Oryctolagus cuniculus: one gene and its partners. The protein of the gene in region 4 interacts with the protein of the main gene of each other region in a pairwise test. Links are inferred from orthologs where the notes say so. Each region holds a gene or a part of one and is shown on either strand. Other genes may lie near its edges. The genes, in order: retrotransposon Gag-like protein 8B, POLDIP2, ZMAT1, ALAS1, LONRF1, PPL and DUSP19.

The links.
Region 1: the proteins of ALAS1 (region 4) and retrotransposon Gag-like protein 8B interact in binary tests that used the Homo sapiens proteins (3 or more experiments, as listed by UniProt). The two-hybrid records come from large-scale screens. The link is inferred for Oryctolagus cuniculus from reciprocal best matches to the Homo sapiens genes ALAS1 and RTL8B.
Region 2: the proteins of ALAS1 (region 4) and POLDIP2 interact in binary tests that used the Homo sapiens proteins (3 or more experiments, as listed by UniProt). The two-hybrid records come from large-scale screens. The link is inferred for Oryctolagus cuniculus from reciprocal best matches to the Homo sapiens genes ALAS1 and POLDIP2.
Region 3: the proteins of ALAS1 (region 4) and ZMAT1 interact in a two-hybrid assay, tested with the Homo sapiens proteins (2 studies listed by BioGRID). The two-hybrid records come from large-scale screens. The link is inferred for Oryctolagus cuniculus from reciprocal best matches to the Homo sapiens genes ALAS1 and ZMAT1.
Region 5: the proteins of ALAS1 (region 4) and LONRF1 interact in binary tests that used the Homo sapiens proteins (3 or more experiments, as listed by UniProt). The two-hybrid records come from large-scale screens. The link is inferred for Oryctolagus cuniculus from reciprocal best matches to the Homo sapiens genes ALAS1 and LONRF1.
Region 6: the proteins of ALAS1 (region 4) and PPL interact in binary tests that used the Homo sapiens proteins (3 or more experiments, as listed by UniProt). The two-hybrid records come from large-scale screens. The link is inferred for Oryctolagus cuniculus from reciprocal best matches to the Homo sapiens genes ALAS1 and PPL.
Region 7: the proteins of ALAS1 (region 4) and DUSP19 interact in a two-hybrid assay, tested with the Homo sapiens proteins (3 studies listed by BioGRID and IntAct). The two-hybrid records come from large-scale screens. The link is inferred for Oryctolagus cuniculus from reciprocal best matches to the Homo sapiens genes ALAS1 and DUSP19.

The regions. Positions count from the first base shown.
Region 1 is NC_091453.1:112,833,423-112,836,948, forward strand, and holds retrotransposon Gag-like protein 8B, read left to right. Parts: upstream 1-1,461; 5' UTR 1,462-1,553; coding exon 1,554-1,895; 3' UTR 1,896-2,721; downstream 2,722-3,526.
Region 2 is NC_091448.1:43,895,780-43,899,497, reverse strand, and holds the end of POLDIP2 (polymerase delta-interacting protein 2), read left to right. Parts: intron 1-1,541; coding exon 1,542-1,621; intron 1,622-2,086; coding exon 2,087-2,201; 3' UTR 2,202-3,067; downstream 3,068-3,718. UniProt on the Homo sapiens protein: Involved in DNA damage tolerance by regulating translesion synthesis (TLS) of templates carrying DNA damage lesions such as 8oxoG and abasic sites.
Region 3 is NC_091453.1:90,872,011-90,876,577, forward strand, and holds the start of ZMAT1 (zinc finger matrin-type protein 1), read left to right. Parts: upstream 1-1,556; 5' UTR 1,557-1,575; coding exon 1,576-1,870; intron 1,871-4,567.
Region 4 is NC_091441.1:97,513,720-97,518,262, reverse strand, and holds the start of ALAS1 (5-aminolevulinate synthase, non-specific, mitochondrial), read left to right. Parts: upstream 1-1,354; 5' UTR 1,355-1,483; coding exon 1,484-1,627; intron 1,628-2,522; coding exon 2,523-2,742; intron 2,743-4,440; coding exon 4,441-4,543.
Region 5 is NC_091433.1:77,988,878-77,993,709, reverse strand, and holds the start of LONRF1 (LON peptidase N-terminal domain and RING finger protein 1), read right to left. Parts: upstream 3,069-4,832; 5' UTR 2,962-3,068; coding exon 2,229-2,961; intron 1-2,228.
Region 6 is NC_091450.1:30,734,745-30,739,541, forward strand, and holds the start of PPL (periplakin), read left to right. Parts: upstream 1-1,871; 5' UTR 1,872-1,886; coding exon 1,887-2,314; intron 2,315-4,797. UniProt on the Homo sapiens protein: Component of the cornified envelope of keratinocytes. May link the cornified envelope to desmosomes and intermediate filaments. May act as a localization signal in PKB/AKT-mediated signaling.
Region 7 is NC_091434.1:57,556,022-57,560,085, forward strand, and holds part of DUSP19 (dual specificity protein phosphatase 19), read right to left. Parts: intron 3,747-4,064; coding exon 3,594-3,746; intron 1-3,593.

The DNA of each region.
Region 1 (3,526 bases), on a different chromosome or scaffold from region 4:
TCACTGTGCACTTACTCCTCATGTAGGATCTCTGTCCTTAATGTGTTGTCCAATGTGAAGTAATGCTATAACTAGTACTGAAACAGTATTTTACACTTTGTGTTTCTGTGTGGGTGCAAACTGATGAAATCTTTACTTAATATATACTAAATCGATCTTCTGTATATAAAGATAATTGAAAATGAATCTTGATGTGAATGGACTGGGAGAGGGAGCGGGAGATGGGAGGGGTGCGAGTGGGAGGGAAATTATGGGGGAGGGAAGCCATTGTAATCCATAAACTGTACTTTGGAAATTTATATTTACTAAATAAAAAAAGAAAAATAGATAGGTTGAATGTTTAGTGTTTTTCTGACTATCCTTCAAGGCACTTCTGGTACTTCAGTGGTCTATATAGATCTACCAACAGTTAAAGAGACTATGCTGCAAACTGAAGCTAAATGGAAGCATTATTCTCCCTTCTACTGCTTTTATAGTCATTTATGTATCTCCTAACTCTAACGTTCAAACGTCTGGTCTGGTCGACAGGCCCCGTTTAGGGCAAAGGAAGTTTTCTGGAAACTCCATCCTAGTCACCTTCTCCAGCAAAGCTGTTTTTAAATCAGGACCGGCTCCACATGCCTGCACAGGAACATCTGTGCTCCTGTCCCTTCCCTCATGCTCCCTCTCCCTTCTACAGCATTGCCACTGTCGTTACACACACATGCATTTTCCACGTCCTTGAAATAGTCCAGAACTGCTGACGTGCTGTGCAAGGAGCACAGTATGAAATTTAGGGGAAAAACAGGTGTTGAAGGGATAATAGGTGTCTCGTGTTTCATAATTCGTGGCAGGATTGTGCCATAGACAAGTGATTGAACTAGGTAAATCACACACCGAATTTTACTGCAGGAAATTAAGGTATTTATTTGCATTCAACCCTCCGTACAGTAGCTGCTCAGGGTGTAATTACTTTGCGCTAGTACTTGGGGTTGGCCTGTAATGTTGCAGAGTCAACACCTCTCTGGCTGAGACACACGACCGAGTTGCACCATGTGTTCAGAGACCCTCCCTCAAAAGGCAGCCAGAGCCCAGATCCGCAAAGGGATGCGCAAGGGCGCGGAGTGAGGGAGGACGAAGGGCGACGCCCCCGGACTCGCTAACTTCCCCAAGTGGAACCAGAAGCTGTCCAAGAGCAGCAGACCCCAGCCTCGCCACACGCATCTGGGGTGTCGCGTTCCTCCGCGGCTCCCCGCCTTTCGCCCGCCGCCCGCCGCCCGCCTGGGACCGCCCCCTCCCGCCTCCAACTCCGCCTCCTCCAGGGCTGGCCACGCCCCCGGCCGCCCCTATCCCGCCCCCTGCCGCGCCTCCCTCTCCCCCCGCCGCTGCTGGCTCCCGACACGCGCCTGCGCCGTGCCGACCGCTCGGCCTGGTGGGCGGGCCCGCGCGCCGCCCGCAGCCCGGCGCGTGACTCCGCCCACACCCGCCCCTCCCCGGGCCCGCCTCCGCGACGAGTCCTCGCCGCGACGCCCGAGCGCAGCCTTCCGCGCAGCCCCGCCAGCCAGCTCGGCGCGATGGACAATCGCATGCGGCTCGTGAAGGCCCTGCTGGCCCGGCCGCTGCGGCCCGCGGCGCGTCGCTGGAGGAACCCGATCCCCTTTCCCGAGACGTTTGACGGCGACACCGACCGGCTGCCGGAGTTCATCGTGCAGACGGGCTCCTACATGTTCGTGGACGAGAAGACGTTCTCCAGCGACGCGCTCAAGGTGACGTTCCTCATCACCCGCCTCACGGGGCCCGCCCTGCAGTGGGTGATCCCCTACATCAAGAAGGACAGTCCCCTCCTCAGTGATTACCGGGGCTTTCTGGCCGAGATGAAGCGCGTCTTTGGCTGGGAGGAGGACGAGGACTTCTAGGCCGCCGGAGCCTCGGGCCCGGGGCCGGCTGCCCTGGGGAGGGTGGGCTGCCCGCCGGCCGCCGCCAGGGTCGCCGCGGGCGGCCCCCGCCGCGCTCGCGCCCGAGTCGAGTCCCGCCGCCCCCCTGCTCCCCGAGTCGCCGCGGCGTCCCCTCGCCCCCGCCCGCCCGCCCGCGTCGTGCTTGCCTTTGTTCCAGGAATAGCGCTCCAGGCTGGCGCTGCTGCCTCTGGGCCTGGCTCTGGACAGCGCCGCCGCCCTGCCCGCTGCCGCCGGCCCGGCCTGTGCCCTGCACCGGGGGCCGCCGTCCGGCCCTCGGGCTGCAGGCTGGGCCCCCGCCGCGCGGCCGACGACCAACCACGCACCGCCGGCCGCCCCCCGCCAGCCCGCATCGCTCTGCCCACGCACCTGCGCCGCCGCCGCCGCCGCCGCCGCCGCCCCCGGCCTCCCGCCGACAGACTGCTCTTCTGAGCCACCTGGACTCCCCTCCGAGGGGTCTGGGCTGGCCGCGGCCCTCGGACCCCGACTCCGACAGCCGGCTGCCCGGCGGGGCCAGCCGGCCTCCCACCATGAGTGAGGCCGCGCCCCCTCCTCCCAGAGACACCTTGAGGGTCTGGGCGCTGAATCGCGCCTGTCACGTCCTCCCGTGGACATGACAGTAGTTCTCCCCGCCCCCCCGAGTCCCGGTTCTTCCGAACGTGCAGCTGTCTCTCTGATGTGTGCCTTGTGTCCCACACTATGACCCTGTGGTCTTCGCGGCTCTTTTACACTACCTGTACAGAAGTCTTTCCATTCTTTCAATAAATGTCAGACCCTGTCCAATAAGAAACTGCGTTCACTGAGTGTGCCACCTTTCCCTCCGTGCTCCTACAAAGCGGGTCTGTATCTTGTTCAGAAACCGCATGACCTGTTTCAGTGTTTCTTTGGACCATCCTAAATCAAGATTCCACTCCTGCCGTGGTCCTGGGGATGGAGAACCTACCACTGAGCATTCTGTCGCTGGTGCTGAATCCTATAATGCTATTAGAAATGTTTCATAGCTCTTTGGAAATGAATCTTTACTTCTCTTTTTTTCCCCTAGGTGATTTGAGAATTCATCCATAAGGGTTCATTGAAATGATTTCCTTATTTCTCAAAAGTTATTTGAAAGCCCAAGTCTCAAATTGTTATAAAATATAAAATTTATACACTCATTGTTTCTAAGCAGCTGTGAAAGTTTTATTTACTCTGATTTTTTTTATTTTCATTTTCAAATCCCAAGAAACATTTTGAACATTTTCTTAGTTTCCAGTGATGCTGTGCACTTCTGCAAATTCCCAAGGGATCACCAGTGAGGTGAGCTAACTAATGTGAAAAGGCAGTCTGAGTGACTGGCCAGTTAAAAGGGGGAGCCAGAGGATGTTTTAGCCCTGTGTTATTCTCCCCCAAACTATTAAAAGTAAAGCAATCAAAAATCTCCTAATTGACTCTTTCTCGCCATAGCTATGTTTAACTGAATCACAGAATAATCAAATTCAATAATCAATGGAAACAAAGTAGGATTTTTCCTAAAAGAGGTAAAATTCTTTTTAAAAAAATGCTTTATATTTTAGCATCTTGAGCAAAATAATTACATTTAGACATTCTCAGTTACT
Region 2 (3,718 bases), on a different chromosome or scaffold from region 4:
TCTCCCATGCGGGTGCAGGGCCCAAGCACTTGGGCCATCCTCCACTGCACTCCCAGGCCACAGCAGAGAGCTGGACAGGAAGAGGAGTGACTGGGACATAATCCGGCACCCTGACTGGGACTAGAACCTGGTGTGCTGGTGCTACAGGCGGAGGATTAGCCTAGTGAGCCGTGGCGCCGGCCCGTACCAGCACTCTTTTGTGGGATGGGGGTGTTCCAAGCGACAACTTAACTCCTGCTCCATAACGCCCATCCCAAGACCTGGATTTAGATCCAAGTGAGTCTGAAGTCAAAGTTTGTATGGCTTTTGTTGATTTGCATAATGTCTTTCAAAAACCTGACATTTGGGAAGGGCACTGGTGCAGTGGTTAAGACACTGCTTGGGAATGCCCACATCCCGTGTTGTAGAGCCTGGGCTTGAGTCCCACCTTCACTTCTGATTCCAGCTTCCTGCTGTCGCACACCGTGGGAGGCAGCAGGCAGTGGTCTCAGTACTTGGGTCCCTGACACCCACGTGGGAGATCTGGATTGGGTTCCAGGCTCCTAGCTTCAGCCTGCCCTAGCAGTTTGGGGAATGAATTAGAGCATCATCTGTCTTTGTCTCTCTGCCTTTCAAATACAATGAACAAGAAGTAAACTTTTTTTTTTTTTTTTCCAAGAAGACCCCAAATTTTGGAGTGGGCATTTGACCTGGCAGTTAGGATCCTAATTGGGGTACTTTTCTGGACTGAGTTTCCAGATTCTAGCTTCAGCTTGGGTCAGCCCCAGCTGCTGCAGGCACTTGGGTAGTAAACCAGCAGGTGGGAGATGTGTCCCTTCTTCTCTCCCTTTTGAATGAATAAAACAAATAAAAACATAACAAAAGATACCTGAAACTGAATTCTCTTAGGTGGAGCAAGCACCTCCCATCACTCTAGGTTGTCTTGTCTCTTGCCTATTTATCCATGTGTATCTCCTAATCCCTGGAGAGATTTGGTTTTGCAAACCCTGCCTACCCTACCTTGTCTCCTGAGAAAGTCAGAAGTGGCATTGGTGCCAGAGGCCACACATGCCGTACTCATTTATTAAGTCAGCAGGCACTTGGGGAAGCAGGGTAGTAAAGTGAATCAGAGCAGGGCTGTGGAATTAGTCTAGCCTGAAATTTCAGCTGTGTTACTTACTGCGTAATTTTGGGCATGTTGTTTTACCAAAGTCTCAGCTTCTTACTGCTGAAGTGGGGACCACGCCTATTAGCCTATGATCTCTGGAAGAACTAAATCCGTAAAGGTTTGCAGACTACCTGCCAGAGTGCTTAGCGCTTAGCACTCAAAAGTGGACACTGGAAGGGGTAGTTCCAGAGTAGGTCCTTGGTCCAGTGTCCTCAGACATTCAGCCTGAGATTCTCTTCCAAAGAATCAGAATAAAAGGCCCAGGTCGGTGGCTGTGCTGTGGGAGGGGGTCCTGGCAGGTTATCAGTGTGGGGGGAGCATGCAATCCTGATGAACTGGCAGTCAGGAGCATGTCCCTGGGTGTGGCCTAACCCATTTGCCTGCACCCTCACAGGAACCAGTGTTATCCAAGGAGCAGCCCGCATTCCAGTACAGCAGCCACGTCTCCCTGCAAGCTTCTAGTGGGCACATGTGGTGAGTGAGCCTGTGCTGGGGCAGGGGCTCTTGCAGTCCAGTCACAGCTTCAGGTCTGAGGAGCGACCTCAGTTTGCAGTTAATGCTGGCCAGGTTCAGTCCCGAGATGGAGCCCTGTCTGCCGTTCACTATTGTGTGGACTGCCTATGTGCCAGTTTTTTAAGATGTGTGGGCTGAAGTCCAGTGGTTTGATGCTACACTAAGTTGCTGAAGCCCGGTGTTTCACTACTGAACCTGAAGATGCAGTTGGGTGGCTTTGAGCAGTGTGCCTGGAAGGGCCAGAATCTGGACAGCTGTGCTTTTTGTGTGGGGCCAAGGAAGGCTCCTGGATCTCTGGATCAGCCAGCCTCCCGTGAGTTAGACAGGAGAGCACAGCCCACCTCATGCTGTGGCTGTGGAGCTCAGTGTGTGGGGCTCAGGAGGGCCTCAACTCTGATTCCCCTCAACCTGCTTCTCTGACCACAGGGGCACGTTCCGCTTTGAGAGACCTGATGGCTCCCACTTTGATGTCCGGATCCCACCCTTCTCCCTGGAAAGCAATAAAGACGAGAAGACACCACCCTCAGGCCTTCACTGGTAGGCCAGCTGAGGCCCTGAGAGCCCAGCTCGGCCCCAAAGAGGAACAGCCCTCATCCCACAGTTGCTGCAGAACTCTCTCCCTGTTGTAGGCCACACTGAGTCTCTTCATCTTTTGCACCATTTGATCGTGAGGTTCTTTTGGGGGATGCAATCGTTTTCTTCGGAAGACCCGTGTAGGACCCCTCCAAGGCTGGCCTTCTATTTATAAACCCTGCCTACACTGTGTTCCAGTAAACTTGTCCACCAAGGAACTGTGTTCAGCTGCCAGAGGCCTGGAGGAGTCTCCTGGCCGGTCAACAAGTTGTCTGGAACGTGAGGTTTGGTCAATAAACCAGTGCACGCTTGGCCACCCTCGCCGTTTCTGTCCCCAGGGGCCTCAGGCTCCCTCTCGCAGTGGGGGCCCTTGAGTACTTTCCATGCTGCCCTTCCAGGGAGCTGTGCCCTCTGCTAGGTTATGTCTCCTTCAGAGGCTGGCTGGTCATCTCCAGGGGCACTGTACCCCTCAGCTGGTGCGAGGGCGCTGAGCACGGACCTGGACTCTGTTCTTCACCTTCTGGCAAGTACAGAGAGGCTGGCCAGCATCAGGGCTGGAATGGTCGGCTCTTAACACTGACTACCCGCTGGCATCTCAGCCTCGCTGGGCCTGAGATAGTGAGGAAAGCCAGCAGTGTCTGTCCAGCCTCCAGGCCATAAATGTGGGGATTCAGCCAAGGAGCAGCTGTAGGCATGGACGGTAACTAAGCCAAGCTACTTCCCAAGCTTCCCCAGGGAGTTGTGCTGCATTTTGCCCTGATTCTTAGAAGTCCTCTGCAATGATTGTTAAAGATACTTTTAATCTTGAATTATATTAAATCGGTTCTAGCCCTTGCTAGTGTTGTCCTCAATCCTCCACCAGGGGGAGCCTGGGTTGCAGGGCAAGAGTAAGGGGGGGCGCTCTGGACCAGCTGGAATAACACTTGGTCCCATCCTGAGCAGACATACAAGCACTAAGCCCACAGCAAGCTGGTCAGACTCTCCGCACTGTAAAAACAACACTCAGTACCACTCCAGTGCAACAGTTTTATTAGAAATTAGTGTTTGCTTCCATCACTTTACGCTGAGCAAGAAGGTATCACAGCTATGTGGCAAAGAGGAAATTCTCTCCTGCCGGCACTGCACCATCCTTCAGGCAGACCTGGGTCACACGGCACATGCAGTAAAACCTGGTACTGTCTGTGTTCATAGCAGACTTCCAGTTTCTCAGAAACTGACAGGGTTAGACCTACATCCATGCTGTTGTCAGCTTCCCCCTGGGCTGCTTGCGGTTGGAAATGCACACAACCAAGGGCTGCTTCCTGAACGGGGTTGGGAAACTTGAAGAAAATTCCCCAAGATCCTCAAACCGTAAATCCTGATTAAAGAAGCTAAGCTCACTCCACTGAGCCCAGTGCTAGCTGTTTTCCTTAAGACCAAACGTTTCCAGAGGGAGAAGACAAGTGCCCTTCCCGACTAGTGTTTTCCTGGTCACCAGCGAGAGGG
Region 3 (4,567 bases), on a different chromosome or scaffold from region 4:
CATATAATAACACTGCATCATAAAATTACAAGGAGTCTTTAAGATTCAGTATTACTGAATCACAAAGTAAAGTAGGGGAGTGGTGGGAACAGTGGGAAGGAATGAGATCAAGGAGGTGAGAGAAGAGACTATTAGTGCCAAACTGTGCACTTTGACTTTATCTAAATAAGCAATGAGAGCGCCAGTGATGAATGACAACATTATGGAAATACATTGGAGGAACTGGGACCAGAGGAAAGATGACTTGTGGGATAGAAGCCATAGCTGACAAGACATAACGAGGACTGGAAATACAGCCAGGGAACTGAGAGCAGAAAGGAGGGCACACAGAAAAGAAACTCACACAAATGTTTCCCTTGGGCATCTCATCAGCAAGGAAATGAATGGGATATTGTACAACCCTGACAGCTACAAACAACAACATGGATGAAAATTCGAAACTGAATGTTGAATGAAAGAAACAAGTCTCAGAATGCTACCTAGTAAAAGATACAAATTTTTCATTGTTAAATTTGAAGACAATCAAAACGAAATAAACCTAGTTAGGTATGTATCTATGTCACAAGAAAATACGTTAAAAGAGAAAAGAAGTACTTAATGTGCTGTACATTGTGATTTAATGCTATAACTAGTACTGAAACAGTATTTTTCACTTTGTGTTTCTATGTGGGTGCAAACTGTTGAAATCTTTACTTAATATATGCTAAACTGATCTTCTGTATATAAAGAGAATTGAAAATTAATCTTGATGTGAATGGAAGGGGGGAGGGAGAGGGAAAGGGGAGGGTTGCGTGTGGGAGGGAAGTTGTGGGGGGGAAGCCACTGTAATCCATAAGCTGTACTTTGGAAATTTATATTCATTAAATAAAAGTTAAAAAAAAGATAAAAGAAATAATAAACATAAATCAAAAAGCAAATTGGTTTTTTAGGAAGGGAGGTCAGGGGGAAAATGCTAAGGGGAATTAAATTATTAGTAATATTCTACTTCTGTTGGGTACCAGATTTACGGCAGATTTTCAAAATGTAGATGGGTAGATCAATAGATACAGCCCTTTAAGGGGCCATAAAGACAATGTGTCATAACCAAAGATTCTGTTTATTTCTATTTTCTGTAATAACAGCTCCAAGAAAAGAGATGTACGAATATTTTAGGATCCCTTAGGAGAGGAATCAGTAACTTCCCCCCTTTTTTTTTTTATTGGTTTTAGATTAACTCCTCCAAAGGAAGCGTCTTCATTGTGTGATCCCCACATGCCTTTACATCCCGCGCTTTTTCCCCTTTTCTCTTGGGCATTGCCTCCTGGGCAAAGACAATGCGTCAACGCCAAGCAGTGCGTGGCGGGGTGGGGTGGGGTGGGGTGGGGACTGGGGACGGGGGTAGGGGTGGAGAGCAGCCTGTGGATCTTAACCTTTACGATTGGGCAGAAGAAGCAAGGAGCGAGATCCAAGCTCCAGCCGGGGCGAAGGAAAGAGGGGCGAGGGGGCGGGGCCAAGAGGGGGCGGGGCCAAGAGGGGCGGGGATAAAGGAGCAAAACCAGAGCGAGGCGCAAGTGCGACTGTCCGCGCCTCGCTGCGATGGCCGCGGCGTTGAACACAGTCACGCCGCTGGCCACGGAGTCTTCCCCTCAGGAAGCTACAGTCTCTGATGCCTCCTATACCGCCTTCGCGGCGGCGGCGGCGGCCGCGGCCACAGCCACGGCCACGGCCCCGGCAGTGATTGTGCCTACCTCCTCCGCCACGTCCACCTCTGCCCGCCTGCCTGCCGGTGGCTGTGGCGACGGCGGCAGCGGCTTTGGCGGCTCCACTATGGCGGCGGCGGGGAGGGGGGGCAGTAGTTTTAAAGTAGACACCCGCCCTTGCCTCAGAGAAGGTGAGTTCCCGTCCTGGGGTGCGGGCACGGCCCCATCTCCTTCGCTGCCTATTATCAGCCCGTCGGAAATCTGGCTGGGCGAGATTCGCCCCTTTCCCAACCCCCAACTGCTGTGGCGCAGTAGAGGCCAAGGTGCCTCGTCCCACCCCGTGGTATTAGCCCCCAGTGTGCCAGGTCTCCTTGAAGCAGTGAGGGGTTTCCCTGGCCCCAGAAAAGGATGCAGGCCCCCAGGCAAAGAAACTGAAGGTACTCACCAGGCAGGAGTTTGAAGGGAGAAAAACACACACACACACACACACACACACATCATTTCTCGCTCAGCAAGACGCCTTCGTGTGCACTAGGAGATGTGATTTGGGAAAGAGGCGAGGTTCTGAGTGCTGTGGCCCTAGAGGGGCAAGCAGGAAAAGAGAAGGGCGAGTGATGGAGAGAGGCGACAGAGAAAAAGAAGAAAAGCTAAGGAAATCAGAAATCAGACAGAGAAAAAACCCTCTGGTAAAATCCGAGGTCCTGTGGTGTGGAAACTCGGAGTAGTACATTTATGGAGAGATGGGGTTAGGCATTTGGGAAGGTTAGCGTGTATACTTGAGCTTTAAAGTAGGATCGGTTGGATTTTAGGATTGTAGGGTCTGGTGGAGGGTGCTCTGCTGGGGAAAAAACATTGGAAGAATGTGGCAGAAGCACAAATTTCACGCATCACTTTGGAGAGGTTTCTTTGGCTTTTTAAGGTTATGACCTAGTAAAGCAAAGCTTATGGGCCCATCTTTAAGGTTGTTTCGGCTTTAAGAGGTGCTGTTGTACCTACAAACACATATTACTCCTAACAAAAAGATATTTCTGGACTATCCCAATATAAGTGGTCTTTAGTTCACATAAAGTGCAATATATTTGTAAGCAGCCTACCAATAGCAAACTGTAAAATTTACCATTGAAATGTATTGTAAAGCAGTTTTGGAAATGCTCTTAGGCCGATTCCATGGCAGAAGATCGCAATCGAGCATTTTGTCATCTAAGTTCAATAATGTCCGTCTTTGTATGTTACCTTTTCCTTCTAACTTGCCTACAAAAACGAAACACTGTAGATGCCAACGTACAGCAAAATGATTTAACTTGATTTTTGTAGGAACAGAACATTCCGTTAAAATTATCTCATAAAAATAATTTCTTCTGCCTAATGATATATTCCTCTATGCTATTTCATAACCATTCACACTTTTCACTTTGGAAAAATGGTAAAGCAGTAAAACAAACAAACAAACAAAAAAACCCTTAACATATTTGTAGCAGACACCTTGTACCGTTGCTAGTCACTAAATAAGCAAGTTGGAAATACACTGAAACATAATGGCATTTTATTTATCAGCTATTACCAAAGGCAATCTTCACAAGAAACACTTCATTTAGTGTCTTCAGTCAGCCTGAATTTGTACCATTGTTGTGGAATGAAACATGAAATCTCCTGAGTATAGAAATTTTGTGTCAAACTTTCTGTCCATAACCAGCAAGAAACCTCACCATGGCATGTTCACAATAAAGTTTAGGGTCCAAATCTCGTGTAAAAATGCTATTGTGCCTGCCTCTGTAAACTGAATTGTTTGCAGTATTTTCTAATAATGTACAAGGGTACTTCAAAAAAGTTTGTGGAAAATTGAATTAAAAGATGTTTGTTTCTGTAAAAAAATTGAAATCTGTGCATACAAGAAGTCTTTAAAAAGTTCACAGAGAGATGGGCATTTGGAGTAGTGGTTAAGAACAGGTTTGGATGCTGCATCTGGTGTCGGAAATGCCTGGTTTCTAGTCCTGGCTCTATTCCCAGTCCCAGCTTCCTGCTAATGACACACTAGGAGGCAGCAGGTCTACCCACCTGGGAGACTTGGATTGCGCTCTGGGCTCCCAGCTTCGGCCTGACCCGGTCTCAGCTGTTGCAGGCATTTGCAGAGCAAACCAAGAGATACTGTCTATCTCTGTTTCTCTGTCTACTTCTGTGCCTTTTTGCCTCTAGAATTAAACAAACAAACTTAAATAGTTCATGGGAAATGTGATTCATGATTGCTTTAAAGTACCCTCATATGCGAATATTTAGAACTTTAAGATATATGCTTATAAAGTAGCAGCAATACCTTTTCTATGCTTTTACTAGGTGATAAAATGAGAGCCCTGACATAGGAGTCTGGTTGAATGAACACAGATTCTGTTGACAACTAATTCAATAGACTTGCTGACCCTGAATAGGTCCCAGACTTCTTGGATTTGGGATTTAGGTTTCTCTGAATCTTCCTGGGTTTGATCTCTGAAATAGGGGAATTGAACAAATCGAACTTTGAGGTTGATTTCAGATCTGAAAGTATTAACCAGAATGTTGAAGTTCTGCATTGATATTCTTTTGATGGCATTTCTAGGGCTGTGCATTAGAATAGTAGTTCATAAATCATAATAAATCTTAATAGATAGCCTCTAACATTCAGTGAGTAATGAAATCTGTATTGAGTTGTGTTAAGACTGTTTATTAGGATATGAAAAAACAAATATAATGGTTACTAGTTTTTCATTGTAGTTAATCAGTCTTCCCTCCAATCTAAAACTCTTCTAGCTTTTTACTTAACGAGTGGTAAATATTTGATATATTGCACTGTCTAAAACACTATTGGCCTTAAAATGTTTTTGCTTAGATTTTTATAAAGGCCATAAATGGTTGTC
Region 4 (4,543 bases):
TTCTATTTCACTTTCCATGTGAGTCGGCCTTGTTTCCCAACCCTTGTTTCTATTAAGCAGGAAACTCCCGGAGGGCTGGAGGCTTGTCAGTTTAAACAATACGCCTCTGAAATCCATGACTGCGTCTGACCTTCCTGCCAACTACCAGTGGCAGGGCCGGGAGAGCTCTACCAGTGAGGAAACTGAGTCTCCAAGAGGTTGTGGCTGCCAAAGGCCGTGACCAAATAAGATTCAGAGCCGCGTGGAAACCACGTCCAGCGCCAGTGTCCCATTCTTCCTGCCTCTGCTTAGTCTCGATCGCCCCAACGGCCCTGGGTGGCAGGGAGAATTGGGACTATGACCCCATTGCCCAGATAAAGAAAACAAGGCCCAGAGACAAGCAAAGCGCTCAACACCATCCTTAGCCTGCTCCTACTTCTACCTGCACCTTGGTCTGAGTGCAAGGGCTGACCCTTTCCTCCTCACCCTGGCTCACCAGCATGGGGAGAGCACAGTCGCGGACTCCTGGGCCAGAGCCCTCATCCCTGACTGGACTACTCCCAGGGTCACTCCAGACCCAGATGCCTCCTCTGCCTGCCCTGCAAGGGGCTGGATGCTCAGAGACGGGATCAGGCAGTGCTTGAACATACCTTGGTCACCATCACTCTGGACTTTGCTCTTCTAATTAATCCGCCGCTGGGGAGGGAACAACCTGAATGACCCTTTCCCCAGAGTGGAAAAGGGCAGCTCCCAGCCTGGCACAGGCTCAGCCCAGCCCAGAGCCAGCCAGGCTGGGGAGGGTGTGGAGCTGTCAGGGGTTTGCCAAGCCCTGCCCCCAGGTGTGGTCTCAGACAGACTCAAAGGAGACATGGCCCAGCTGTGAACTCTGGGACGGAGTCCCAGACACCCACCTGGGTGCCCAGGAAGGGACTTTAGACAAGCTCTCTGGAAAACAAAAACAGGGCGAATGCGTGTCGGACACTAACTGTGTGGCAGGCCCTGGGCCTCCCCTTTCCCTAGAGCTCAGGGCACATGGGTTGCATCCTTGTCTGCACAGCTGGGTCCCCACTCTCCAGCCTCTCCCTGCCGGCACCGCTCCGTCTTTGGGTGATTCGGTGACAGATGCGACAGCAAGTCCCTGGCGGGGCAGCTCCTGCTTGAGACCCGGCCCGGAACCCCCTCCACATGTCCAAACTTCTACTTGGCAAAAAATAGGGTCTCCAGTTGGCCCCGGCCGCACTTGGTCTAGGACCTTGCCCCCGTGTGCCGCACGGCGCCGAACGCCGGGTTCTGACGCAATGGTCAGTGGGGAGGCGGCCGCGGGGGTGTGGGACGAGGCCGGGACAAAAGACTTCGCCGCTCGGCGGCCCTCCAGCGCGGGATTTGCCAGCCAAGGCCGACCCCCTCAGCCTCCGCCCGCTCAGCGCTCCTCACGGAGGCGGGCCCGCCGCGCCCAGCCTCCTGAGGGGGCGCGCCTGCGCGAGGGAGGCCGGGCCCAGGGCGCATGCGCACTGCTCCCCGCCGCTGTATATTAGGCGGCAGTATCCGCGGCCTGAGACTGCTCGCCGACAAGGGCAAGCGTTCGTGTGGACACCTCGGCCTGAGTGCCCGCCGCCGCGGCCGCCGCCTCGCAGAGTGCCCCGCGCAGGTGAGGGCCCGCGTTCTGGGGGCGGCGCCGGCCCTGAGCGTCCCCGCGCGTCCTGCCAGCCCGGGCCCCTCTCCCCCGGCGGCTGGGACCCCATCCCCCACCGCCCCAGTCATAGCTGCTGTGGGTTCGGCGCTCACCGTCCAGATCTTTAGCCAGTTCGGCGACCTCGGGTCCCCCACATTCGGCCCCCTCCTGCCGGCTGCTTTTCGCTTCACGCACCCCTCCGTTTGCTTGCGGGCTCTCGACCTCGCCTGACCCCGGGTCCCCAGCTCCCCGGGGACCACCTGCTTCCGCCGGACCCGCCTCTCGATCTCAGAGCCCCTAATGCCCCCCTGCCCAGCCCCTTGACGCTTCCCTCTCGCCCCCGCCCTCTTTATGCCCTTCCTCTCGGTTCTGTCCGGTGCTGGCTGTGGGGCCTGATCCCGGGGCAGTCCATGCCTCAGCGACCCAGGGCTCCGCTGGCCGCCGTCCTTGGGTTTGGGGGCCTGGGGACCCGGAGAAAGTCCAGATCTTTCGGAGTCCTCCCCGCCTGAATGAATGACCGTGGCCTCTTCCCCGTGCTCACGTCTGCACCTGAGTGTGTGCTGCGAATCGGCCTCCCGAACCTGTTCCTGACTTGTCCCTCATCCTTCCCTCCCCTTAGTTGTTAACTGTCAGTGTTCATTGGGTGGAGTTGCTTTGGGGGTGCTTTAGTGTACAGCCGGGGAGTGTAGGAGGCCTGAAGGCCTGGGTAGAGTGTGGTCCCCAGTCCACATCAGCGCTGTCCTTAGACATTTTTCGAGTGAGGTGTGTATCCCTGGGTACCCTTGGTGTGGACCGCAGGGGATGCCTGAACGCAGTGAGCCTGCGGTGCTGTTTGCCTGATGAGCAAGTGTTGACGGCCCTCTTTCTACAGGAGCTAGCACACTCCCTGGACATGGAGACTGTTGTGCGCCGCTGCCCGTTCTTATCTCGAGTGCCCCAGGCCTTTCTGCAGAAGGCAGGCAAATCCCTGTTGTTCTATGCGCAAAACTGCCCCAAGATGATGGAGGCTGGGGCCAAGCCAGCCCCTCGGGCCCTGTCCACTTCTGCGGGGCACTGCCAGCAGATCAAAGAAACCCCTCCGGCCAGTGAGAGTAAGTGTCTGGCGGCGAAGGGGCGGTGGGGATGCGTGGGCTCAGCACTGGCCAGAGGCAGGCCAGTGCGCACAGTGGTAAGGGCGTTTAAGGGCTGGGCTGTGGGCATTGGGTAGCTCAGGTAATGTTGCCCTAACCCCACCAAGTAGGCGCTTCCAGTTTTCCCATCTTTAAAGATGAGACCGGCCAGCGCTCCATATTACAGGTCTCTTCTGGCTTGGTTTTAGCGTTTCAGTGTTTCCTCTGTGCCTTATTTGCATAAACATTAAATTAACATGCTGCGTTCCAGCCTCTCCTTCATTAAATCTTTGACCTTTGGCTTTTAAAGTTGTGATTTTTTTCTTTAAAAAAATTGTGTTGTAAAATGCGCGCAACATAAAATTGATCACCTTAAGTATTTTTGAGCATGGTTGCATGGTGGCAGGTACATTCACGTTGCACCGTGCCCACCAACCCTTTACAGAACTTTGCCTTCCCAGAGTGAAACTTTGGCAACCACTGTTTTACTTTCTGTCTATATGAATTGGGCTACTCTAGGTGCCTTATACAGGTGGAATCATATAGTATTTGTTAATTTTTTAAAACAGATATCCTTATTTTGTTTATAAATCCTTTGTTTTATTTGTAATAAAGAGAGCGTAGATGACTTTAGTTTCTGTTTGGTGCTGCCAGGAAAGGATAAAGCTTTTCCAATTTCACTTAATCCTAGGGAATATTTTACCTTCTGTTAGGTGTGTTGTCTGGGTGTGAACTTGGAAGAAAGGAATGTTTTTTTTCTGTAAGTAGAAAGGATTTAATCCTTTGGAGGATTAGTTTCAGGAATTAGCTTTGTCTTTTTTGCCAAAATGTTTGTAAATTGTAAGGCTTGTCTCTTTTTCTTTTCCCAGACTTTCTCTAACGAATATGTGCTATACTTGCAATTGATGAAATTAACTTCAAAGTAGTTTTTTTGGCTTTCATTTAGAGAAGATTTTAATGGAAACCATTGCAACACCTTGTCCAATGTAGGAAAGACTAGCCACTGAGTAACAGTATTCCAGAATGTGAAGGCTTTTCTAGAAGGAAGGGGAACAAATTTTCTTAAGGGGAGAGGGAAGTCTTAGATGAGAACGTAGGTAAGGTAGATAATGGTGATATACCTGTGGTTTTTTTCTTAGCATACTGGTAGTTTGAACTCCATCAGACAGCAACCTGGAGACCTGCATTTTAGTCTAATTTCTTTTATTCAGAAAAAAATTAGTAGTTTTCATGTTAAGCAACAGCATGCTTCTTGGTCAAGAATCTGCTTAGAAGATGTGAGTAGAGAATTGTGTGGATACTTCGAACACCCTGAGAGAGACTGTCCTCTCCTGACACAGGCTGAATGTGCTTGGGGTAGAATTTACTGGAAATGATCCAACTTGAGGACTCAGAGTTGTCTAAAAATAGAAAATAGTATCTTTATTATTTATTATTATTATGTGCTGTGAGGTAATTGGAATTGCCAAGTAAGTCTTTATAGGGGCATTATTTCCAGTGAGACAAATAAAAAAAATAGTGAGATTAACAAAACCTAATAAAACAAGTTTATGTTTGGATTGTGGGGTGGAATAAGCATAAAGTTTATCTTTGGGGCAATAAGAGGAAAAACATTAGTGGGCCTTCTTGTATATTGTGCAACCAGATCTGATGGTTCATTTTTTCCATTTCCTCTGTCAGAAGACAAAACTGCCCAAGCCGAGGTCCAGCAGGCTCCAGCCAGCTCCCAGCGGCCTGCAGATGGCACACAGCTTCCGTCTGGACACCCCTCCCCAGCCTCGAG
Region 5 (4,832 bases), on a different chromosome or scaffold from region 4:
TTGGGGTGCTGGCATCCCGTATCTGCATGCTGGGGATGAAATCCCACCTCTGCTTCCCATCCAGCTTCCTGCTTACACACTCAGGAAGCAGCATTTGATGGCCCAAGTACTTGGGTTTCTGCCACTCAGATAGGAGAGCCAGATAGAGTTCTTGGCTCCTGACTTCAGCCCCCAGCTGCTGAGGGCATTTAGGGAGTGAACCAGAGGATGGAAGGGCTCACTCTGTCTCTATCACTCTGCATTTCAAATAAACAAAATAAACTTTCAAAAAAATATTAGTCACAGAACATGAAGCTAGACTTAAATCTGTAATGTGTTCACTATTCTTCCAAGGAATAGGACCTCAAAGCTTATAAAGAACCTAATTTAAAAGAATGTCATATCACCATGTCAGGCGTAGATACTGAATAGTGCTGTTGGTGAGTTTTATCCTCTATTTTATACTAGTGATAGAAAACCCTCCTGGGAAATGTGCATGAGCACTTGAGTGGATGACCTATAAAGACCAGATGAACACAAGGCCCACTTTAGAAAGGGACACACAGCTGCCTCTCCAAGCAGCCAGCTGTGTGACTGGGGCAAGTCACTGCACTGCTCCAGCCCTTGCTTTCTCACATGGTCTGTGATAGGTGTTCTATCCAGCCAATTCTGGCTTATTTGCCCACAAGAGGCAGTCAGGTGTATCAGAATTTAATACCCAATTATTTTCCTTTTGTTCTGAGACTATTACCATATTTTACAACTGCCTCCTCCACAGACACACTAAAAGGCCTCAAAAACATGGCAAGTTTGTGCTGTGAACTCTGAAGGTTCTAAATAACTCAAGACACTGTCACTGGTTCAATATGACTAAGCACCCACAGGAGGGTATTTTCAGTTCCACAGTGTCTAAACTTACCTAACACCCAAAGTCAGTTTAATATTTCATGTCTATTTCCTTGGGGATTATTTCCCCCAAGCATTATTTCCTGCCAACACAGCGACATGAAAATCTTGCAATCCACTTCATACAAGTGTCGCCCACAGTGCCACTGATGGTCGTCTGGGGCCTGCATTCTTGGCGGTGGCAGGTCAGCCGCACAGTGCCCACAGTGCCGGGACCAGCATCACGCCTACAAGAGGTGGGGACCAAAAATGTCCCTAGACACTGCCAGATATGTTGCCCTGGATAATGTCCTTGGGGAGGGGGTAGTGAAACCCCCCCCCTAGTAAAAGAACTGATCCAAGAACTTCATTTTTTCTAACGGAAGTTTTACAGGCGCGTCTGGCACAATGTAAAACCGCCTTGGGAAAAGTGCTAACTGAAGTTGGGAAGCCGAGGGTGCGTCCTGGAGACAAAGGAAGAGACAAAAGCCCTACACGGCCTTTCCCCCTGGGCTCGATCTTAAGTGGAAAGGCGAACGGAAGCGAGGCGGTAACTCTGGGTTAGAGACTACCTCTGCATCCCTGCCCTGGGCTGGGCGTATTCCGGAGTCAGCACAATGAAACCGGCGTGACCTGAGAAGAGCAGGTGGACGCCTCAAGATGCACCCACTCCGCGGGCACTTCCAGGTAGGAGCTGACCACCGCGGCCGGAGGGGCCTCGCGGCACTGGGTGCGGGCGCCGAGCTCCCGCCACGCCCACCGGACGTCACCCGTTACACAACGCCCCTCCACCCCAGCTTATGCAATTCTGCCCTCCCGCGGCTTCCAATTGCCCCGGTGACTTTTGCGGGTCGGGAAGGTAGACCTAGCCCGCCCAACCTCGGCTGGGGATCCCCGCCCCGCCGCGATGTCGTCTCCCACCCCCGGGGTGGCCCGGCCCTGCCGGGCCCGAGCCGCCAATTCCCGGAAAGAGCGCGGCAGGAAGCGGGCGGCCGCTCGGGCTCCCCCAGCTCCCACCCATCCCGCGCCAGGGCGGCCTCCGGCCCGGGGGCCCGCAGCTCCGCGCCGCACGCGCGCGCGCCCGAGCGCCAGGCCGCGGCCGAGGGAACCCCGCGCCCGCGCGCCCCTCCCCGCGCCGCGTCACAGTGGGCTCCCAGGGCGATCCCCATTGTGACCGAAGCACCCCGGGCGCCGCCCCCTCCCACACCCTCGAGCACCCCGAGATCCCGCACGCCGAGTGCCCAGCGGCCCCCGGGGAAGCAGGGCGAGCCTGCCCCAGGGCGCAGACCCGCTCTGGGTACCCGGCCCGCCCGGGAAAGGAGGGTGGGGTCGGTCGGGCCCGCGCCGCATCCCCGCGCCGTCACCTGCTCGCAGCGCCTCGCAGGCGGCGGCCAGGGCCTCCCGGTAGCGCCCCTGAAGCAGCAGCTCCCCGAGCCGGCCGGCCGCCCGGGCTCGCTCGCGCTGACCCGGGAACCACTTCTCGGCCAGGTGGTTGAGGACGACGCTGGTTCTGAAGTCCGAGGCCGCGATGGCGGCGGCCAGAGGCGGCGGCCGCGGGCCGGTCCCCTCAGCACCCGCGGCACTGGCGACGGCGGCGGGCGGCAGCCGGTCCCGGCAGAGGCGGCAGCGGACGCGGAGCTCTCTCCGCAGGCAGCGGCGGCAGTAGCTATGGCCACAGGGCACCGTCACCGGCTCGCTGAGGAAGCCGCGGCAGCCCAGGCAGCTGAGCAGCCCGCCCGCACCCGCGCCGGCAGCCGGGGCCGCGCTCCAGCCCAGCCCGTGGCGGAGCCGGTAGTTGAACACCAGGCAGTCCACCAGGGTGCCGAGGCACTCGGGCCTGACCGGGGCCCCCCGGCGCAGCGCCGCCGCGTACGCCTCCAGCGCTCCCTTCAGGTGGCCGCCAAGCGCCAGCAGCTCGCCGCGGCGGAGCAGCAGCTCCCAGCGCTCCGACTCCGCGGCCGCGCGCTCCAGCTGGTCGCCGCCGCCGCCGCCGCCGCCGCCGCCGCCCACTTCCCAAAACCGGCCTCGGCTCCGGGGCCTGAGGGCCGTCTCCCGACTCCCTCCCGGAGAGCCCCTCGCCACGGCCGGAGAAGACATGGCCCGCGGACGGCTGCTCCGCCGCCGCCGCCGCCGCCGCCGCCGCCCGCCGCCACGGTCCCAGAGCCTACGGGGCGCGCGGCTCCGCACGCGGCCCGCGAGCAGGGGGGCGTGGCGCGCGGACACGGCGGGGCGGCGCGCGCCCGGGAAGCCCCGGGGGCGGGGCCTGCGTGGGGCGGGGCCTCTGCCGAGGGGCGGGCCCAGGTCCGGGTCCAGCGCTCGGGACTCCCCCGCACCACCCGCGGCCGCGTTCCCGAGGAGTCGCCGGCCCGGCCCCGCCTAGCCCCGCCCCTTCCGAGCCCCCTGCGGGTGGGGGACGCAGGTCAGATGATCCCGCAGCGGGGATCTAATTGGTTTCTCGGGAGAGCAGGGCCTGGCGTGTTACTAAACAAAGCCCGAAGGATCCTTTATCACCCACCCGGGGCTGGCCTCCCCGCCGACGACCCCGCCTGCAGCGGCCCCCTCCCTCGCCTCTGCTCGGTGGGCGCTGCTGTGCTGAGTGGACCCCCTCCTCGCGGGACGGAGGCCCACGCCGCCCGCGCTCCCCCGACGCACTGCCCCATCGGGCTGGGGACCTGCGCCCTCGCCCTGCGCGGAGTCCGGGTCGTCAGGTGCAGGGTGGCGTCTTAGGTGTATGCCTCAGGTTACAGAGGTGGCGGGCCCGCGACAAGTGCCGTCTGACGACTTCGTGACTCGACTACCGTCGGTCTACATTAGACACAAACGCAAAAGTCCGCAGCTCCCTCCAGTTTTTTCTGGTGCCAAGTGGCCGCGGCCTTTCCAGTTCAAAACTCATTTCCTAGCTCGCGGGTTCTTGGGGTGCCGGCTGTATCCCCCTTCCAGCTGGGGGAAGTCTGTATTCCCCAAGGAAAGATGCCTTGCCCACGGCAGGTACTCTCTCCCTACATCCCGAGTTGGGTCTGCAGCTTTACAGACAGAACAAAAAGAAATGATCCCACTTGTAGGTAATGGGTTATACTTCCTGGAAGTTGACAGCAGCGAGTGTAAAACTCTCAATTGAAAATATTTATAGTTTTGAATATAGGGTTCTGGGTTGTTAATGTTGGAAGAGACTTAAAACTTTTTAGTTACTTTGCAGACGGTTGGAAAAGAAAAGTTTACTTGTCCGAATTCACACAAGTAATGAAGAGAGAGGATTTAACTGCTATGTTATGGTATTGATAATAGTTATAGATTCATTCCCCAAAAGGGAATGAACAAAAAGCTGACCGAGAAAATACTGAGACACACAAGGTGCAGAGACACACAAGGTCACTTTTCATTTACATTGCGCCTACAGCAAGTTGTAGTGGGATCCAAGCCCCGTGGCCTAATTGTTCGGTGTGTATTCACAGGCATGAACTTAAATCCAATCCTAATCCCCCTGAATTGCGACCTCTCAGCCAGCAGAACGATGACTTGAGTCACATGCCCACAGACCAGCTTGAAGCTACAAATCCCAAAGACTGAGTATCCCTATGCACGTGCCCTTTGACTTACGGGATGCATTCTTGTCCGTAACAGCAGCTTGCCAAACGTGCAGTGGTAAACAGCTAATAAATGTGATCGTGATCATACAGTGAGTTGAGCGAATTGATAAACACTCAGATGTCTTTTCAACACTAGTTTAAATCCATTCTGGGATTTCCCCTCAAAGTAAAATGTGTGGTTCAGAAAATCATGAAAAATATCATTTGTCCTTTGGAGTTTCATTCCCTAATAGACAGATAGGACAAATAACCACATCTGATTCGGATGTGAAATAAAATGGCACAATTAGTATGGTACTGGGACTGTGGCAGGGCAGGGAGGGGAGGTTGGGACTGTGGGAGGAATCTTGCTGAGCTCTCCTTGGCATTTGTGAATGGCTA
Region 6 (4,797 bases), on a different chromosome or scaffold from region 4:
TCCTTGGTCCAGTTCCCCTTCCAAAAAGCGGCCTTCACTTTCTAGGAGTTGTGAGGAGAGGGGACTTGGCAGTTCAGAGATGTCCAGAGTTTTGACTCCATCTGGAGGTCCTGTGATGGTTTGGAGACTCCTCCCCGTTGCCCCCACCCCAGTCCTACAAGCCGGTGGCCTGCAGCTGCACACGCCTCCCCCTCCCGTTCACAGAGGCCCTGCTAATGGCCAGGGGCCGGACTAAGGGACCAGCACACAGCGCCTCACCCTCGGACGTCGATGCTGTGTTTGTGCCCATTTCACAGAGGGAAACGGAGGCCGGGAGAGGCATGGTGGCTCACCTGTGTTCACACAGCTGAGAGGGTCTGAACAGGGATTCAAACTCAGGTCTGTCTACGCTGCCTGCTCTCCTTCCCCTGTGAAAATGCTGATCTTTCCCTGGCCTCTCCAGAGGGGACTCGAAGGTGACCGTGTCTCACGAATCCTTGCCCACGTCTGCCGCGCATTTACAAGCAAGTGGCATGCCCGCCTAGTTTCTCTCTCTCCCTCCCCCCAACACAGAGCGGGCATCGTAGACCCTCTCCTTTGCCCCTTGCTGTGGGCATCCACTCCACGTGTGGGTCTAGGCACACCGTCCGCACAGCTGTGGCTGCTTGTTTAACCTACCCCAGGGGTGAGCAGCTGGTTTCCAGAAAATCTACAAGGTTGCAGTGAACAGTCAAGGCAGACTTAGCACCCACACCAGTGCCCACCTGCCCAGAAAGGTGGGAGGGGGAAGAGTAAGGAAAGGGTCTCTGGGCACGGGCAGGGGAGGAGCAGAGCAGGAAACAAGCCCCCCGCTGTGGCCCATGGCCTGAGACTGAGCTGGGCTTTGGTTCTGGTAGCTGCAGGCCGCCTGTGTGCTGCAGCCCTGGCTCTTCTCTGACACCTGCCCCAGTGTCAGCTGGCTGGTGGGCGAGTCCCCAGGGTGCCCTCAGACCTAGGGAGGGGAGTCTCTTCAGAACGAGGGGTTGCTCAAGGCCTTACCTGCCCCACCTAGGGCAGCACCTGAGAGGGAGGCCAGGCAGGGCCGAGGTGGGGGGTTAGGTTTGGCGAGAGGTCTGTGCCTGGGCAGTAGCTGGCAGGGTCCCTCCCTCTTGGCTTTTCCCAGTGAGGTCCAGGACCGTGGGGGGATCTTGTCAAGTGATCAGACTCCTGAGCCCTTCTCCCAGGGTATGAAGGCCTGAAATCTGCATTTTACACACCCCCACACACCCCAGGCGCCGACGCACAGCAACTAGAGCCACTGTTCTCAGAGAGGTCCCCTGGCTGCACTCAGGGACGTTCCCAGACGTCTCGCATTGTCCTTGATCCTAACGAGGCCACCAGGCCCCTCAGCAAAGTCTCCAGTCTGAGTGTTCTGTTTTGCTTTTTTTTTTTTTAAGATTTATTTATTTATTTGAAAGTCAGAGTTACATAGAGAGAGAAGGAGAGAGAGAGAGAGAGAGAGAGAGAGAGAGGTGTCTTCATCCACTGGTTCACTCCCCAATTGGCCACAACAGCCAGAGCTGCGCCAATCCAAAGCCAGGAGCCAGGAGCTTCTTCCCGATCTCCCACACGGGTGCAGGGGCCCAAGCACTTGGACCATATTCCACTGCTTTCCCAGACCATAGCAGAGAGCTAGATCGGAAGTGGAGCAGTCAGGACTTGAACCGGCACCCATTTGGGTAACTGAGGCTAGGGGCGCTGGAACACGCACGTCGCCCAGGGGTCTCGGCCGACCCAGTGCGGAGGCAAGATCCGCACGTGGGCAGGGGCGTCCAGTGCCCCCTTTGCTGGGACCCACTGGCCATCCGGGTCGCACAGACACCGACAGCGGCCCTGTGAGGGGCGGAGCGGGGGACTGGGGACTCCAGATGCGGGTCGGCCGGAGCCGGAGCAGCGCCCGCGCCCAGAGCACTCAGGGCCCCCAGTCGGGGGGCGCGCAAGTCCCCGCGCGGAGGGCGGGGCCCCGCGCGTGCGGAGGCGGCCCGGGCGTCCCCGCCCCCGGCCCTGCGGGAGCCCCTCCCCGGAAAGGTGAAGCGCCACCTACCCGGGGAGCGGCCGCGGAGCGAGTGGCCGCCGGGCGCCCCGCCCCCGCGAGTAGTGCTGGGGTGCCGAGGGCGCGCAGCACTCGGGGCCGCCCGCCCGCCCGCGCCGCCGCCGCCGCCGCTCACCTGCACCCACAGCCCGCCCTCGGTGCGCGCCGGCCCGCCCGGCCCCCGCCGCTCCCCAGCGCCACCATGAACTCACTCTTCAGGAAGAGAAACAAAGGCAAATACAGCCCCAAGGTGCAGACCCGCAGGTGAGGAGGCGCCGCGGGGCGGGGGCCAGCGCCGGGTCCCCGAGGGGTCCCGGGGCTCACGGGTCTGGGAACCGAGCCAAGAGTGTGGGACGCGAGGGGTCGCTCGGCTGGGAAGAGGATGGGGTGGCATGGGCGAGCGCGTCCGAGGGGACACCGCTTGTGGCCCCCCGGGGTCCTCGGAGCGCAGGGGGCCTGGCTTTGAGGGCCTAGGGGGCGGGGAATTGAGACGGGGGTACCGGAAACCTGCGCCCCCCGGGCTGCTTTTGAGTCGGGCTGGAGACTGCGGCCGCAGGGGGCCCGAAGGCCGGGTCTAGAGGGGGTGTGCTGGGCCGGAGAGCGGAGCTGGGCTTGGAGGGCGCACACCTGCGGGTCTCGGAGCTCGCACAGGTGCTCCTGGCGTCGGGCAGGCTGCAGGTGGGGGTGGCGCGGGGGCGGGCCACCTGCTAGGCACTTCCCCGCACCTGCCAACCTGCGCTCGGGAGTCCCGCCCCGCCCCGAGGCCCTGGAGCGGAGGGCACAGGCCCGGCACCCTCTTGCTTGCCCGGGGAGCGCCAGGCAGGGCGCTGCGCGGTGGCTGGGTGGCGTCGGGCCGCCGCGGCCCTTCTTAGGGGTGTGGCTCCTTCCCCGCCCCCTCCCCCAGCCCCGAAACTGGCGGCGGCTCTGAGCGGCGGGTTCCCAGGGAGGCCTGGGAAAGGAATGACATGTCTCGATGTGTTTGTGCGCACAGGCAGCCCACGTCCGTTTTGATAAGCCGAATGCATTCGCTTAATAACCGGTTTGGGGAAGTCGGGGCAATTCTGAGATGAGGGAGGGGGAGGGAGTTGGCCCTGCCTTCTCCCCCTCGAGGGAAAACGGGGTAGGGGCGTTGGGTACAGAGATGGAGGCAGGCGGGGAGTAGGTGACCGGCACAGCCTCCTGGCTTGGGGTCCCCACTCCTCCTGCTGCCCTGTGGAGTCCCTGCAGTGCCGGGGGCGGCTCCTTATTCCCGGCAGGCCTCTGATGGCCCAGTGCAGGCGGGAACTCTGGGCTCGCGTCCCCCCCCCCCCCCCCCCCGCGCCGCCCCTGCCATCAGCCTAGGCTGACCTGTTTGGCAGGTGCAGGCAAGCCTGGCCCTCAGTTTCCTTCCGTTCCAGCATCCTCAGACACCCCAGGAGTCGGGATCCCACCCACCCATCCCATAGCTCCCATTCCAGATGTTTGAAGCTCAGAGGCATCCCCCCCCCCCCCGCCCCCGGTTCCCTCCTGTCTGTCACAGCCTCAGAGGCTGGGCAGGGCCCTGCGTGCTGTTCCTCCCTGGCCGTCCAGCTGGCTCTCATACCTCTCTGGGGGCCCAGCCAGTCGATGCGCTGTTCTCTCGGGCATTGCACAATCCTGTGCTCTGTGCCAGCCCCACACAACTGTTCTGTCCTCGCCACCACAAGACCTCCACACCTGCAGGCACCCCCACTCCAGGAGCTGGGCCAGGCTGCCCCTCATCCCCCGCAGCCCGCATCCCCAGAGGCCTGGGCTGGACCTCACACGGGTTAGCGTGAGTTGAGGCAAGTTGGGAGGGAGGCACCCCATCCCGCTGAGTGCGTGGGGCGAGCACTGACCGCTCCCTCCCTGCACTCCTGGCCAGAGGCAGCGCCCTCTGTCCTTGGCTTGCAGACCTCAGCTTGGGGGTGTCTGTGCAGGAAGCCTTCCTGGTTCTCTCCCAGGGTGGAGTGGAAGACCCTTGGTGGGGCTGCCGTGGCCTTGTGTTACCTGGCCCTGAGTGGGATGGCAGCCCTGTGTGCGGCCGGGTCTGCCACATCCTCTCCCAGCCCTGTGCATCCCTCTGCCAGGAGGTGGGGGCAGCCCTGCACCCCAGTCTCCCTCCCTTCAGCCTACTCCACGCTTCACCAGCCCTGTAACAAGCAGCCTGGGGCACCTGTGGCTCTAAGCTGTGTTCTTTCACCCTTAGTTTTCTGGGGCTCTCTGCCATTGAGATTCGGCTTGGCGGGGCGAGTGGGAGCTCGGGCCCAGGAAGCGGGACTCCCGGCTCCTCACCCTGGCTTTGCCACCTCCCCGGACCCTTCCCGAGCCTCAGTTTCCATTTCTGCAAAGCAGCGAAGAGGACAGTAAGAATCTGTCGCTTGGAGTCTCCGAGAGCAGCCTTGCCCTGGCACACAGGAAGTGCCCAGGTCAGGGTTGTCATCACATCCCAAGCCGGGGCACCTCCCGCCGTGAGCCCCAAGCCCCGTTAAGGAAGCCGCCCCTCCCTGCCAGCCGGGAGGGCCAGGACAGGGTGTGAACCCGTTGCTCCTGTCACCCTGGTTCCTAATGACAGGTGTGGGAGCAGGTGTTCACACCTGCGATAATGACAGGTCCCAGGGAAGCGTCCTGCAGGGAACCAGCTCCCACCCTCCCGGCTGTGTAACCTGGGACGGAGTTGGTCCTTCTGAGACTGTTCTCTCCCACCTGTAGCCTAGTGCCTGCCCGGAGTGCTGGCTGAGGGTTAAAGG
Region 7 (4,064 bases), on a different chromosome or scaffold from region 4:
TGTTTCAGGCTCTGTCTTTAGTAAACCCTTGCTAAGAACAAATCTAATTAACTACCAACTCAAATTAAGGGAAATTTTCTTTATTAAAAAAAATTTAGGGACAGCATTGTGGTATAGTAGGTTAAACCTCCACCTATGGCACTGGCATCCCATATGGGTGCCGGTTCCAGTCTCAGCTGCTCCACTTCTGATCCAGCTCCCTTCTGTTGGCCTGGGAAAGCAATGGAAGAAACTCCTGGCTCCTGGCTTTGGATCGGACCAGCTCTGGACATTGTGGCCATTTGGGGAGTGAACCAGTGGACAGAAGATCTCTGGTTCTGTCTCTCCCTCTCTCTGTAGCTCTGCCTCTCAAATAAATAAATAAATCTTTTAAAAAGAGAGAGAGACAGAGAGAGAGACAGAACAAGTGCACTCCCATATACTGGCCTACTCCATAAATGCCTGCAACAGCCCAGATTGGGCCAAGCTGAAGTCAGGAACCTGTAATTCAATTCAGGTTTCTCATGTATGCAGCAAGAACCCAATTACTACAGCTATCCCTGCTGCCTCCAGGTAGGGAATTAGCAGGAAACTGGAATTGGGAGTAGAGCCAGGATGCCTCCAATATGGGATGCAGTCATCCTAAGTACTATCTTTTTTTAAATTTTTTTTAAATTTTTTTTTTTTTTGACAGGCAGAGTGGACAGTGAAAGAGAGAGAGACAGAGAGAAAGGTCTTCCTTTGCCATTGGTTCACCCTCCAATGGCCGGCGCGCTGCAGCCAGCGCACCGCGCTGAGCCGATGGCAGGAGCCAGGTGCTTTTCCTGGTCTCCCATGGGGTGCAGGGCCCAAGCACCTGGGCCATCCTCCACTGCACTCCCTGGCCACAGCAGAGAGCTGGCCTGGAAGAGGGGCAACTGGGACAGAATCCGGCGCCCCGACCGGGACTAGAACCCGGTGTGCCGGCGCCGCTAGGCGGAGGATTAGCCTAGTGAGCCGCAGTGCCGGCCCCTAAGTACTATCTTAACAACTATGTCAATGCCCACCCCTCTCCAATTTTACACACAATGGTACATATCTTGCAATTTTAATGCAGATACAAATGAAATCTATACTCTACCATCTAAGCCATATTCTACACCTCAAAAAAGCAGCTGATCCTAACATATCTATATAGAAAAATATATATATTAAAGATTTATTTGTTTATCTGAAAGGCAGAGTTACAGAGAGGGAGAGGCAAAAGCAGAGAGAGAGAAATCTTTCATCCACTAGTTCACTCCCCAAATGGTCACAAGAACTGGAGCTGGGCTGATCCAAAGCCAGGAGTCAGGAGCTTCTTCTGGGTCTCCCACACAGGTGCAGGGACACAAGTACTTGATTCATCTTCAACTGCTTTCCCAGGAACACTAGCAGAGAGCTGGACCAAAAGTGGACCACCTGGGACTCGAACTATGGCCCATATGGGATGCCTGTGCTGCAGGTGGAGGCCTAGCCAACTACACCACAGTGCCAGCCCCTTACATACATTTTTTAAGAAGTACTTATTGACATAAAATGGTGTCAATTCAAGGTATACTTCCTGATAACATAAGTAATTATTGACATAAAACAGTGTCAATTCAAGATGTACTTCTTGAAGATAACGAGCCTACAAGCCCTGCCTGTCAGCATGTTGGCTCTAATCTAATATTATATTGCCTGTTGGTCTTCTAAACTCAGAAAACCAATGGACAGCTACTGATCAACCTTTTTACAGACTCAGTAAAGCAATACACTTTTATTCCTCAGAGTGCCTTAAAATTCTGTTGTTAAAAATGCATAGACTGAGGCTGGAAATGTGGTGTAGTGAGTAAAGCCATTGCCTGCAATACCGACATCCCACATGGGCGCCGGTTCGAGTTCCAGCTACTCTACGTCCAATCCAGCTCTCTGCTATGGCCCGGGAAAGCAGAGGAAGATGGTACAAGTCCTTGGGCCCCTGTGCCTGTGTGAGAGACTCAGGAGAAGCTCCTGGCTCCTGGCTTCAGATCGGCCCAGCTCTGGCTGTTGTGGCCATCTTAGGAGTGAACCAGTAGATAGAAGACCTCTCTCTCTCTCTCTCTGCCTCTGCCTCTCTGTAATTCTGCCTTTCAAATAAATAAATAAATCTTTTTTTAAAAATGCATAGATTCTGAGGTCTGCACTGTGCCACAGCCATTAAAGCCCCAGCCTGCACCACCAGCATCCCATATGCATGCCTGTTTGAGTACCGATTGCTCCACTTTTGATCCAGCTCTCTCCTAATGCACATGGGAAAGCAGGAGAAGATGGCCCAAATCCTTGGACCCTTGCACCCTCATGAGAGACCTGGAAGAAGCTCCTGGTTCCTGGCTTTAGTTCCAGAGTTGCGGCCATCTGGAGAGTAAGCCAGCAGAGGAAGATCTCTCTGTGTCTCTACCTTTATCTGTAATTCTGTCTTTCAAATAAATAAAATAAATCTTAAAAAATATAAATGCATAGATTCAAAATCCCTACCTCAGTCATTAAAATGAATGTGCACTAACCATCATAACTATACTAACAAGACTAGAACACTCTTTATTCTATAATCTACCTGTAGGTCAGCAAGCAGTGGTCAGAGGGCAAATAGTTATCAATTCCTTAAAGGAAATATAACTACATATTTAAACAGGAAAATTCAGTACATGAAGATTTTATTTCCTAACATTTTTCAGACATAGGAAACAGGAAACTGAATTAATGTTAAAACTAAGTATCTCAGGGCTGGTACTGTGGCATATTGGGTAAAGCCGTCACCTGCAATGTCAGCATCCCATATGGGCACCAGTTCGAGTCCTAACTGCTCCACTTCCAATCCAGCTCTCTGCTATTATCTGGGAAAGCAGTAGAGGATGGACTCCTGGGCCTATGTAGGAGACCTGGAAGAAGCTCCTGGCTCCTGGCTTCGAATCGGCACAGCTCTGACTGTTGCAACCATCTGGGGAGTGAACCAGCGGATGGAAGATCTCTCTCTTTCTCTCTCTCTGCCTCTGTCTCTCTGTAACTCTGGCTTTCAAATAAATAAATACATCTTTTTTTTTTAAAAAAAGCAAGTATCTCAACGAGAAAAGAACAATGAGGGTACTAAATAACTGTAGGAATTGATGAAATATTTTTGGATTAAAAGTTTCATAATAGATCTTTAGAAATTCATTTAAAATAAAAAAATAAAGATGGAGACAGCGCTGTGGTCTGGTGGGCTAAGCCTCCGCCTGTGGCACTGGCATCCCATATGGGTGCCTGTTCAAGTCCTGGCTGCTCCTCTTCCAATCCAGCCCTCTGTTATGGCCTGGGAAAGCAGTAGAAGATGGCCCAAGTCCTTGGGGCCCTGCACCCACCTAGGAGAACATGGAAGAAGTTCCTGGCTCCTAGCTTTGGATGGGCCCAGCTCCGGCCACTGTGGCCATCTGGAGACTGAACCAGCAGATAAAAGAACTTTCTGTCTCTCCCTCTCTCTGTCTATAATTCTACCTCTCATATAAATAAATAAAATCTTTAAAAAAAGAATAGACAAAGGAACCATACTTTCAAATTTCTGTTTTTGAAGGACAGTGGATTAAAATAAAACTTACCTTCATTTTAGCTTCTTCAATAAATTCAAAACATTCTGGAAAATAAGACAGGATATTGGTTTCAGGGAGATCCAATATGGAGATGCTCTTATATGTGAAGTCACCGAGGAAAGCATTTTCAACTCCACAAGCAACATTTAGAATATGAGTCACCTTAAAGGGAGAGAAAAAATGATGATATTTAAACTCTCATGAGTGAGGTAACCTAAAAAGAGACTGAGATGTCAACATCTGTAACAAGAATAGTAAAATAATTATACATGACTCGCTTGAATGATATTTCCTCCAGAATGCCGTCTCTGCCCCATCCCTAACAGAAGTGCCCCTTCTGTGTACATCCTCATGGCCCACCATACATACCCTATTATAGCTCCGACCACCTACAGATTGTTTTCTCCTTCTCTCTACTAGAGACTCCATGAGGGCAGGGACCACATCTAACGACTGTAAATAAGTGCTGTGAGTGATATT